Linked DNA regions of Arabidopsis thaliana. The protein of the gene in region 2 interacts with the protein of the main gene of each other region in a pairwise test. Each region holds a gene or a part of one and is shown on either strand. Other genes may lie near its edges.

The links. The genes of interacting proteins can lie anywhere in the genome.
Region 1: the proteins of IQD31 (region 2) and AT1G12310 interact in a two-hybrid assay, tested with the Arabidopsis thaliana proteins (one large-scale study listed by BioGRID).

Annotation. Positions count from the first base shown.
Region 1 is NC_003070.9:4,185,868-4,190,903, forward strand, and holds AT1G12310 (Calcium-binding EF-hand family protein), read right to left. Parts: upstream 2,367-5,036; 5' UTR 2,080-2,366; coding exon 1,633-2,079; 3' UTR 786-1,632; downstream 1-785. Other genes in the region: AT1G12300 (Tetratricopeptide repeat (TPR)-like superfamily protein), read right to left, coding at 1-209; AT1G12320 (ankyrin repeat/KH domain protein (DUF1442)), read left to right, coding at 3,557-3,616, 3,764-4,342.
Region 2 is NC_003070.9:28,062,033-28,067,068, reverse strand, and holds the start of IQD31 (IQ-domain 31), read left to right. Parts: upstream 1-2,297; 5' UTR 2,298-2,593; intron 2,594-3,122; 5' UTR 3,123-3,144; coding exon 3,145-3,225; intron 3,226-3,396; coding exon 3,397-3,696; intron 3,697-3,808; coding exon 3,809-4,012; intron 4,013-4,133; coding exon 4,134-4,208; intron 4,209-4,324; coding exon 4,325-5,036. Other genes in the region: TRZ1 (tRNAse Z1), read right to left, coding at 1-13, 108-182, 268-336, 461-574, 706-801, 890-960, 1,038-1,200, 1,545-1,724. UniProt on the Arabidopsis thaliana protein: May be involved in cooperative interactions with calmodulins or calmodulin-like proteins. Recruits calmodulin proteins to microtubules, thus being a potential scaffold in cellular signaling and trafficking.

The DNA.
Region 1 (5,036 bases), about 24 Mb from region 2:
TCTGCCTTAATATCGACAAGCCCACTTCTCAATCTCTCTCTATAAGACAGATTTCTATCGCTGAAAGCAGAGAAGCCGCGTTCGCAGCAAAAAGATAGCTCATTTGGGCAATTAATCAAAGCAATTCTCAGAGTACCTGTCTCCAGGAGACGAGGCTGAACAAATTTCGAAACTTGAGAACTCAATCTCCGTATCATCAACTTCACCATCTCAAGCTGAATCGTTCCTTTTCAAACTCTCACTCTCACTCTGTGTGTAAATTGCAAACCCTACAAAACAGCCATGGCACACGACGGACGGAGCTTAGAGACAAAAGAAACAACACCCGAAACGTACCAAATAAACCGGTTCAATTCAAATTATGCCGGAATTGGTTTTTTTTGTATCTTACTATAAAATACGGAAAGATTTTTATCTTTTAAGTTGCTCGGTGGAATGCATCAATGGCCTTTGGCACCCTCCTACGTTTTGATCTAGCGATCCAAATACTGCCACGTCTCAATTTACTTGCAAATAGGGAGAGTCCAGTAACTCGGGATTAGAGAGAGCTTGTTTTTATTCACTCGTGTTTTTGTTTAATCGGTCTAAACCGGACATTGTATGTTAACAGATTCATAGTGTAGTGAACCGAACATTTTGGGTATCATTCTAATGCGTATATTTATATGCTCTTTTCTTTTCACCACTACAATACTTCTTATCATTTACATGTGGTATTCATTAACGGAAATATTATTTTGAGAGCTTTGATCTTCACACAAATCATGTATTAGTAAGAAGTAACAGGAACATATAGAGAATGCATGTATCTAATCAAACTTTGAAACTTGCATCAGATTGAAATTTCATTTTCGCATAACCATCTACACAAGAAAACTATACCATAACAAGAACCAAAACCGAGTCAAAAACTACCGTTTCGAGAACATGAACTACAATGTCAGTGCCATAAGCTTTTTCAAAACTTTGTTCTGATGAGCCATCATAAGCTTTATTACCTTAAACCATGTTATCTAGGTACAACATGCCGCCCTGAAAGACAAACAACATCCAACAGCAACATAACAACACGATATTGAACAGCACAAGCTTGAGAGCAACAAAAGATCTTTAAATCATTTCGCAATCTTTTTACTTTCCACTTCACATACCAACAAAACACAGTCCTTGTCACAGATCGTGCCAGGATAAGGTTATGAAACAAGAAGATAGTATCTCATTCAAGAAGACTACTATAACATGAAGAACATTAAACCAAGTCTTAAACAAACAAAAAGGCTTATTAAAAGAATTCAATGCTAGATATCGAAATCAAACATTTCAAGATCGAAAGAGCGAAAAGTTACCACATTGGGAATCAATGAGATTCCTTGACCCCAATCCAACGAATTACAAAGGCATAAAAGACAAACCTTGACATTCTTAGAGATTAGATAAGATAAGAGGAATCACACAGACAACATTTCCATTAAAAATGAAAACAAACATGAAGAAGACAAAGTTAGTAAGCAAATTCCACAATGATAAAACAAACCCTAGCTAGGATTCGCTCGAAATCAAACAAACAAGTGAAAAAAACACAAAGAATCTCTTCTTAAAAATTTCAACTTTCAAAACATAAAAGATTAGATCTCACTTAGCAACCATCCTTGCTATGAAATCTTCATACCGGATCTTTCCATCGGATCCAACATCCACCTCCTTGATCCACTCATCGAACTCATTAGGCTCCAGCTTCTCTCCGATACTGGTCAGAATATGCCTCAGATCCGCCACAGCAACGAACCCGGTACCTTCCTTATCGAGCACTTTGAATGCGTCACGGAGCTGGCGATCGAAAGGTTCCGTCTTCAGATGTTTCGCCATGAGATCGAGGAATCTGTTGAAATCAAACGGTGAAGAGAGATTCTCGGATGCGATTATGGATTTCAGCTGGGCTTGGGTCGGGTTTCCGCCGAGAGATCGCATGAGGATCCCGAGCTCTGACGGTGCGATTTTGCCGTCGCCATCGGTGTCGAAGAGCATGAAGGCTTCCTTCATCGACGAGACCTGATCGTCGCTCAGACCATCTTTCCCCATTTTTCGATTCTTCCGGGTTTTCAGGTCAGATTCCGGGTCAGATGTTTCTCTCTTTTGCTTCTTCTCTGTACAACGAAATTTAGGATCAGAGAGTCGCGTTTGTAACTTTTAACGAGAGAGGTGTTGATATGGCGTCGTTTTATCTAATATTCAAGGCCCAACTATTTCTGGCCCATTTATCTCTTGAAATCTTAAAAGATGAACAAAGTCTAACCAATCATATTAGTGGAAATTTAAAGTTTAGGATCTTATTTTTGAAATGAATGTCTTTCGCCTATAAAGTTTTGATATGTTTGCTAGTTACAAATTAAAAAAAAGAATCAAATATTAGTAGGATAATTTGAGTGGGTTTGCATTTTAATATTTGTATTGGCAAATGAAATTGCTTAAAATGATTCCACTATACAACAAATCATTAAGTTTGAGAAAGTGGGATAAAAAGAATAAACATGACCTAATATTTCTTTAAGCCACAACCGATAGAGTCGTTTTCAAAGTGACATAGGAATTATAAAAAGGTTTGATTTGTCCCACATAATTGGATCTATGGGGTACAAAGACAATTGTTTAAATGCATTGGTCACTATCAATGTATATAGCAAATGATATCATCATGTGATTTAAAAGGTAACCTTCCACTTGGATGATTTTTCACATGTTTGAGTTCTTCTATACTTTATATCTTTCTTTTGGGTTTGCTTTGAAATATGATTCACTTGTTTGAAATTTATGCCATTATCTATGACTATCTCCATTATCCCTAGATGGAAAAAAAAGTATCCAGACACTCCTTATCAACGATCAATGAGACATTATCTATTATATCCACTTGGTTTTAGTTATCACATGATACTAAAGTCATTGAAATTGGGTCTGAATAGTGTTTTTTATTGTACCAACTAAATGAAAATTTTCTAAACTTAACTACTATTAACGAATAAACAGTTGATAAATCGTTTTAGACTAATTATAGTTTAAATCTCGTTAGCCTACACACGTCAAATTCGTCTGGAATAGTGTCAAAGTCGACTATCTAGAAACCTTATCTTTAAAAAACAGAAAGAAAGAACAAAACATAGTAAATCTTTTAGAAAATTTACCTATCACTCTCACATATTACACATTTTCAAAATCTAACCTTTACACCACAAAAATTTAGGATAATAGTACTCTAATTACCTCCGTTAATTCATAACAAGTGCATTCTCTATGTCCATTTTCTGATTTTAAAGCAACAATTTCTAAACAAAGGAGCTAAATCGGGGGGTACTTGATTAAAGTTGATAGTATTGGGGCTAAACCTAAAAACTAGACAAATATACAAGGGCCATATCGATACAAAACGAAACGAGACTTTTCTTAATGTCTACGTTCTCTATAAAAGCAAACTTTAAGCTAAAACCCAAACAAGAAGCAGAACACAAGAAACGTGAGAAACTTTGAGAAGACCAAGAAGAAGAAGCAGAAGAAGAAGAAAATGAAATTGGTTTGGTCTCCGGAAACAGCATCAAAGGCTTATATAGACACCGTTAAATCGGTAAGTTTTTTTTTTATTTTCCGGTGAGTTGTGAAGGAATAATAACACACGCTTCTTCTCTCCAGTTCTCGAAAACTCAGATCTTAATTTTGTTAAAGATTCATGGTTTGTTCTTGTAACGATTTTTTTCTTTTCTTTTTTGTTCAGTGTGAGAATCTTGAAACGCCGGACGCGGCGGAGCTAATAGCGGCGATGGCGGCGGGATGGAACGTGAAGCTGATCGTGGAAACTTGGTCAGAAGGAGACGCAATAGCTTCAAGTATTGGTTTAAACGTAGCAAGCAAACACGCAAACGCTAAACACATATGTATAGTACAAAACTCAAGATCAGAATCTGCTTATCTCCAAGCTATTCAAGAATCTTCATCTCCCTTGAACTTTCCAGAGACTATCGTCGCTGAAGAACCCGGAAAAGCGATGAAGAAGCTACAAGGAGTCGACTTCTTGGTCGTGGATTGGCGGAACAAAGAATTTGCAGCGGCTGCGTTGAAAAACGCTGCGTTTGGAAACAGAGGAGCTGTTGTGGTTTGTAGAAACGGGTATTCGAGCTTGAGAAGGGTTTTAAGAGACCGGAAAGTTGTTAGAACGGTGACTCTTCCGGTCACCGGAGGTATTGAGATAGCTCATGTTGCGGCTAGGAACTCAGGGAAGAGTGGTAACAATAAGAGAAGATGGATCACACATGTTGATCAGAGATCAGGAGAGGAACATGTGTTTAGTATCTAGAAAGTCAGAGACAAATAGTCATAAGTGTTTATTGGATCTTGTATTTGTTGTGTTTGTACATAAGATGATTCCATCAGATGCAATTGTTATTGAAGAAAACATGCTTGTCTTATAAATGTGATCTTTGTGTTGCAAAACTACTATCTCTGCTCGTCTCTCATTGCAATTCACTTGCTTCTATTTGTCTACCATGTTGGGAAGCATGAAGAACACTACAGAGTGATGGGCTTAAAAACAGTTGTTTATGAGTTCTTGAGCCCATTACATTAGTGCTCTCCGTGACTTGTAATCATATCCTTGACTTTATCTACAAGGAAAGTAATTGGGGTTCCCACATAAATGCTTAAGAAAATGACCTAAAGTGATTTGGTGGGTATGTTCGTTGCCGACGAGGTTATCATAACAATCGAGGAGAAAAAATTTCCAACTCGGGCCAATTTATAATAAGTGGATTAGCTTATCTTCTTTATACATCATGTTAGATCCATTTCCACTTCAAATAGGAGAACGGAAACATCACATCATCATGCAAAAATACCACTACAAAGTGGGAATAATCTATCAGATCAATCATGAATCTAAAATCATATGCTTCTAACTTCAAATTTGATTAGCAGTTACAAGATTATTTATGTTGTTTATATAATATGCTGATTTCACCACCCCCTACATATAATGTGAGATAGTGTAACGT
Region 2 (5,036 bases):
CATCTTCGATTTCCTGTGAAAACTCGCAAAGATTAATTACCACTACAAGGTAAGAGAGTAACTGATTTCCTACTGCTTCATAACCAGGTTGGATAAAGAAGACACACCTTCACTGTATACCGAGCCGAAAAGTGGATTAGCAGGATTGCTTTGTTTTCAAACTTTTCAGCATGATTTACTATCTGCAGTTTAAGGATATATGAAATCTTCTATGACCATCAAGAGACAGAAAGTAACAAGAGGTGTCAAAGAAAGGAGGATCCTGACCTCAGATATATGGATATGTCCATAATCTCTCGCATGCTCTACCGATACCGAATCATCAAGAAATGTGCTCTGCACAAGAGGAAATAGAGACAGCTTCCCTTTTAATACAAAGCCATGAAACTTGGACCGGGAAGAACTATATCATTATAAATCACGCACATTGTCCAAATTCATATCAGTAGCAGATATTCACCTCCATGACGAGAACCTTTGCCTTGAGAGCATCAGCATTAGTTTCATCAACTACAAAATCCGACGTTGTATCTCCCGTAAAAGCAACTTCAGGAGTTATTATGCTGTCTGTAATCTACAATCCACAATCCAAACTTATTAAACAGGCTTATATACTTTGGAAAGACCATTGCAAAACTATTGACTTTGTGATAGACAAACATAAGAAAAAATTGACAAGCAATATTAAGCAAATCAAAGACAAACCTCAACACCTGAAACCTTCAAGTTCTTAATTTCATTTCCAGATAGGCCAATATATTCCTTCTTGAGTTTATATTTAGTTGAATACACTACATAACCCTGCAAAATATCAAACGAAAGCATGAATTCAACGAAGACACATAACGCTAAGATATCGAAAATCTCATGCGAGTTTACTAAAATAAACCTGGCTTTGGATGACATGGAATGTCTTAAAGGCTTTGACTTTGAGATCTTTCCTTATAATAAACTCCTCCCCTGCATGAAGAAGTGTCCAAGGTTTAACAAAAAAGCCAAATCTTGGCTGCAATGAATGCTAGAGGTTGAGTTACCACCTATGTCCAAGCCAACAAGATTGTGCTTTAGCTCTGAAGAATCTAACTTTCTGTGAACTTCGAATAAACTCTCAACAGTTTCTTTAATGGATGCGGGTACTATAATCGTTGGAGGCTTCATTTTGTACAAGCCTCTAGTAGCAACATACATTGGTAATCCACCCTAACATAACAATACGAATAGTTTAGCTCACAATTTGAGAATGTAACACCCAAACAGTAACAGAGCAATAGGCTAATATAACATAACAATTTAGCTGACAATTAGAGAATGTAACACCAACACAGCAACAGAGCAATATGCTAATGATAATAAACACATGGTGGCTCTCAACAAGGGTTTATCAAAACAGTAACAGAGCAATAAGCTAATGATAATAAACACATGGTGGCAGTCTCAACAAAGGCTTATCAAAATTGTTCTTAAAACAAAAAGTCAAAAGAAGGATCTTTGCAAAATATAATCCGAAATTTCAAGTCTTTTTATAGAAGATTCAAGATACTTACGATATGATCCATGTGAGAGTGAGAGATGAAGAGGAAGTCTTGAGAAATTGCGCGATGTGGGCAACGACCAATGTCGAAAGCTATCCGAAGAGATGGAAATATGATGCACGTCTCGTGCCCACCAATCGACAATCCCTCGATCGGGTAACCTTCAATTTGCATTGCTTTCTTCTTCTCCATCTCACTGTTCCTTAGGGTTTATCGAATTTTGGCTGTGCTCTTCGTTTTCAAATATTGATCACCAAGTGTTCGATGAAATGTCTCACAATCACAAGCTTTTTTCTTCCATGATCATTTTTTTTTTTTTTAATAATTTTATGGATTGGGCTTAGGCCCATAACGGTTAACGAGACTACTTCACTGGAGCGGGAACCACTAGGCACTGGTTAATAAATTTCCCACGTGCCTCTGGTGCAAAAGTTGGTCTTTCGTATTCAACGACAGTGCAAGGGTATGATTGTAAATTTACTTCGAATGCTTCATTAGAACGTCGCGGTATTCTTACACTTGTTTTCGAAGTAATCTCGACGACTATAACAAAATCTGAGCAATTTCAATTAAATATCTGTTACTGTTGTATTTTAAAATCTAGACTACTGATGACATAACCAAATTTTTAGACTAAATTACCCTTTTTCTTCTATTTTAATTATCGCATTTAATGATTTTCAGCTTTTTTTCTTTATAGATTGCTCTCTTAACTCTTCTTTAATTTTCCCTCTTTCGAGTTCTGAATTTTTCTGTAAAAATTAATTTTAGTTAAACTAAAAATGTTTGACAAAAATACTAAATTTCAGAGAAGATCCAACGGCTAGAAATCAACTGCGTAAGATTGGAGTTATGGAGATGCTCGCTTACTTTTTGGTTAAAATTAGAAATATTATTTTGCGCAAAATATTTATTTTCTCTTTCCGTCTGGTCACTGAAAGTCTCTGAAACCACCACCAAAGAGAAAAACAGTTCTTTAGAGAGCATCAAAGCTCCGAGGAAGAGAGAGAGAGACGCTATGGAAGCATTGAACTAACACAACTCTAAATTTCTAATTTACGGTATATTATCTCCTTCTTTGTTATTGTTTTTGTTTGGTCTGAATCGGACTTGGATTTAGAACGGAGATCCGACGGTTACTCCAACTTTAAACCGACTTTATTTTAAGACATTGTTCGAGTAGTGTTGGGTTTTAGAAGGATCTCTCTGTTTGGGATTTGTTGTTTGACTCTGTCGGTGTTTTTTGTTTGTTTGTTGTTGTTTTTCATTTTGGAAAGTGGATTTTGAGTCATTTAGGGTTCTTCTTTTTCAGTCTGAGTTCCAGATCTGGTAATTTCACTTCATAAATTTATATGGTAATCATTGTTTTTTTTTTTTGTTCTTTCTTGATTCTTACATTTAGTTATCATTAGGTTTATCTTTATAAGCTTATTATTAGAGTTGATTAGAACAAGATAATGTGTTACTCTCCTTTTTTGCCATAACTAATTAATGAATTAAAAGACTTCTTCATTTTGACTATTGTGGTAGACTAGTAGTTGCCATATTCACATACTAATATTGGCTTGTGTTGTTTCTTGGGCAATGCAGGTTTGTTTTAGTTCTATACATTATGGGGAAGTCTACAAAATGGTTGAAGAATGTATTGCTTGGGAAAAAAACTTCTAAATCTAGTGGTTCCAAAGACAAAGAGGTAACGCTTTTGTAAGAGAATTCTATATTATGTATGTGATGATTAAATACTGTATGTGGAGAATTTGGATCATAATTGAGAAAACAGTGATGGTTTTAGGCTACCAATTTGCTTATGATTGTCTTTTTTTTTTTTTTTTTTTGTTCTAATTATAGTTATAATAATGCGCAGAGAGTTGTGAGTGGAAAAGAGGTACTGGTTACTTCAAAGGTGGAAGAATCAGATGTGGTATCAGATCTTCCATCTTTTGAAGTTGCAGAGACCAATACCGTTGATAGAAGTGGTGGTATGTTAGAGACTCAAAATGTAGGACCTGAAGAGATCTCAGATGATGAAATTGAGCTTCCTGAAGGAAAATCAACAGATTCTCAGAATGTTGCACCTGTTCAAGATCATTCATTATCTGATGCAGAGAGAATCCAACGAGAGATTGCAGCAACGTCTGTGCAGGCTGCGTTTAGAGGTTACTTGGTAATAATTCCAGCTGTTTCGATTTTATTAGGCTTGTCTCTCTCTCTCTCTTGATTGCTGCTTCTGGTGTGTTGTCTTTTTGTATATCCTAACATGAGCTCTTTGTGTGAAGGCTCGGCGTGCTTTTTGGGCACTCAAAGGCATAATAAGGCTACAAGCGCTTATCCGTGGTCACCTTGTTAGGAGACAAGCTGTTGCAACTCTTTTCTCTGTCATGGGAATTGTCAGGTTGCAAGCATTTGCTCGAGGAAGAGAGATCAGGAAGTCCGACATTGGAGTTCAAGTTTATAGGAAATGCAGATTGCAGCTACTTCAGGTAATGATACTTTCATTTCTTTGTAAGTTCAAACTTACACTTAAATACAAACTTAGTCGAGGAAGATATTCTAGTTTGGGTTGGTGGGGAAATAATTGTTAGAACTGGCTTTTTTTATCAGGGGAACAAGCTTGCAAATCCTACAGATGCTTACCTTGGAATCAAGAAACTAACAGCCAATGCTTTTGCTCAGAAGGTACGCTTGTTGGTAGAGTTATTTATTATAATGATGTTCACTGTATCCAATATCTCTTTTATACTATGGAGTCTCTAATTTTATTTAAAGATCTTGATGGATAATTTTGTTTACAGCTTCTCGCTTCATCACCAAAAGTGCTACCTGTACACGCATATGATACATCCAATCCAAACTCAAACTTGATCTGGTTAGAGAACTGGTCAGCCTCATGCTTCTGGAAACCAGTTCCTCAACCGAAGAAAACGATAAGCAGAAAACCTCAGAACAGGCTTTTAGTCGAGGCTGAGTCTGCTAAACCCAAGAAGAGTGTCCGTAAAGTTCCTGCTTCAAACTTTGAAAGTTCCTCAGTACAGACATCTTTTGAGTTTGAGAAACCCAAACGCAGTTTCCGGAAAGTTTCAAGCCAGTCGATAGAGCCACCCGCTGTCGAAGATCCTCAGATTGAACTTGAAAAGGTTAAACGTAGCTTGAGGAAGGTACATAATCCTGTAGTTGAGAGCTCTATCCAACCTCAACGATCCCCTCGTAAGGAAGTCGAGAAGCCAAAGCTTGGCGTTGAGAAGACAAGGGAATCATCATATCCGCTGGTTCATGAAACTGCAGAAGAACCTGTGAATGTTTGTGATGAAAAGAAAAAGCAAGAAATTTCCGAACAGCCTGAGGAGGAGGTACATGCTCTTGAGATGGAAGTACATACTCCTGGACCATTAGAAACTAATGAAGCACTTGATTCCTCACTGGTCAACCAAATTGACAGCAATGAAAAAGCCATGGTTGAGGAAAAACCCTCAATGGAAAAGGATACCAAAGAAGAAAAGACTCCCA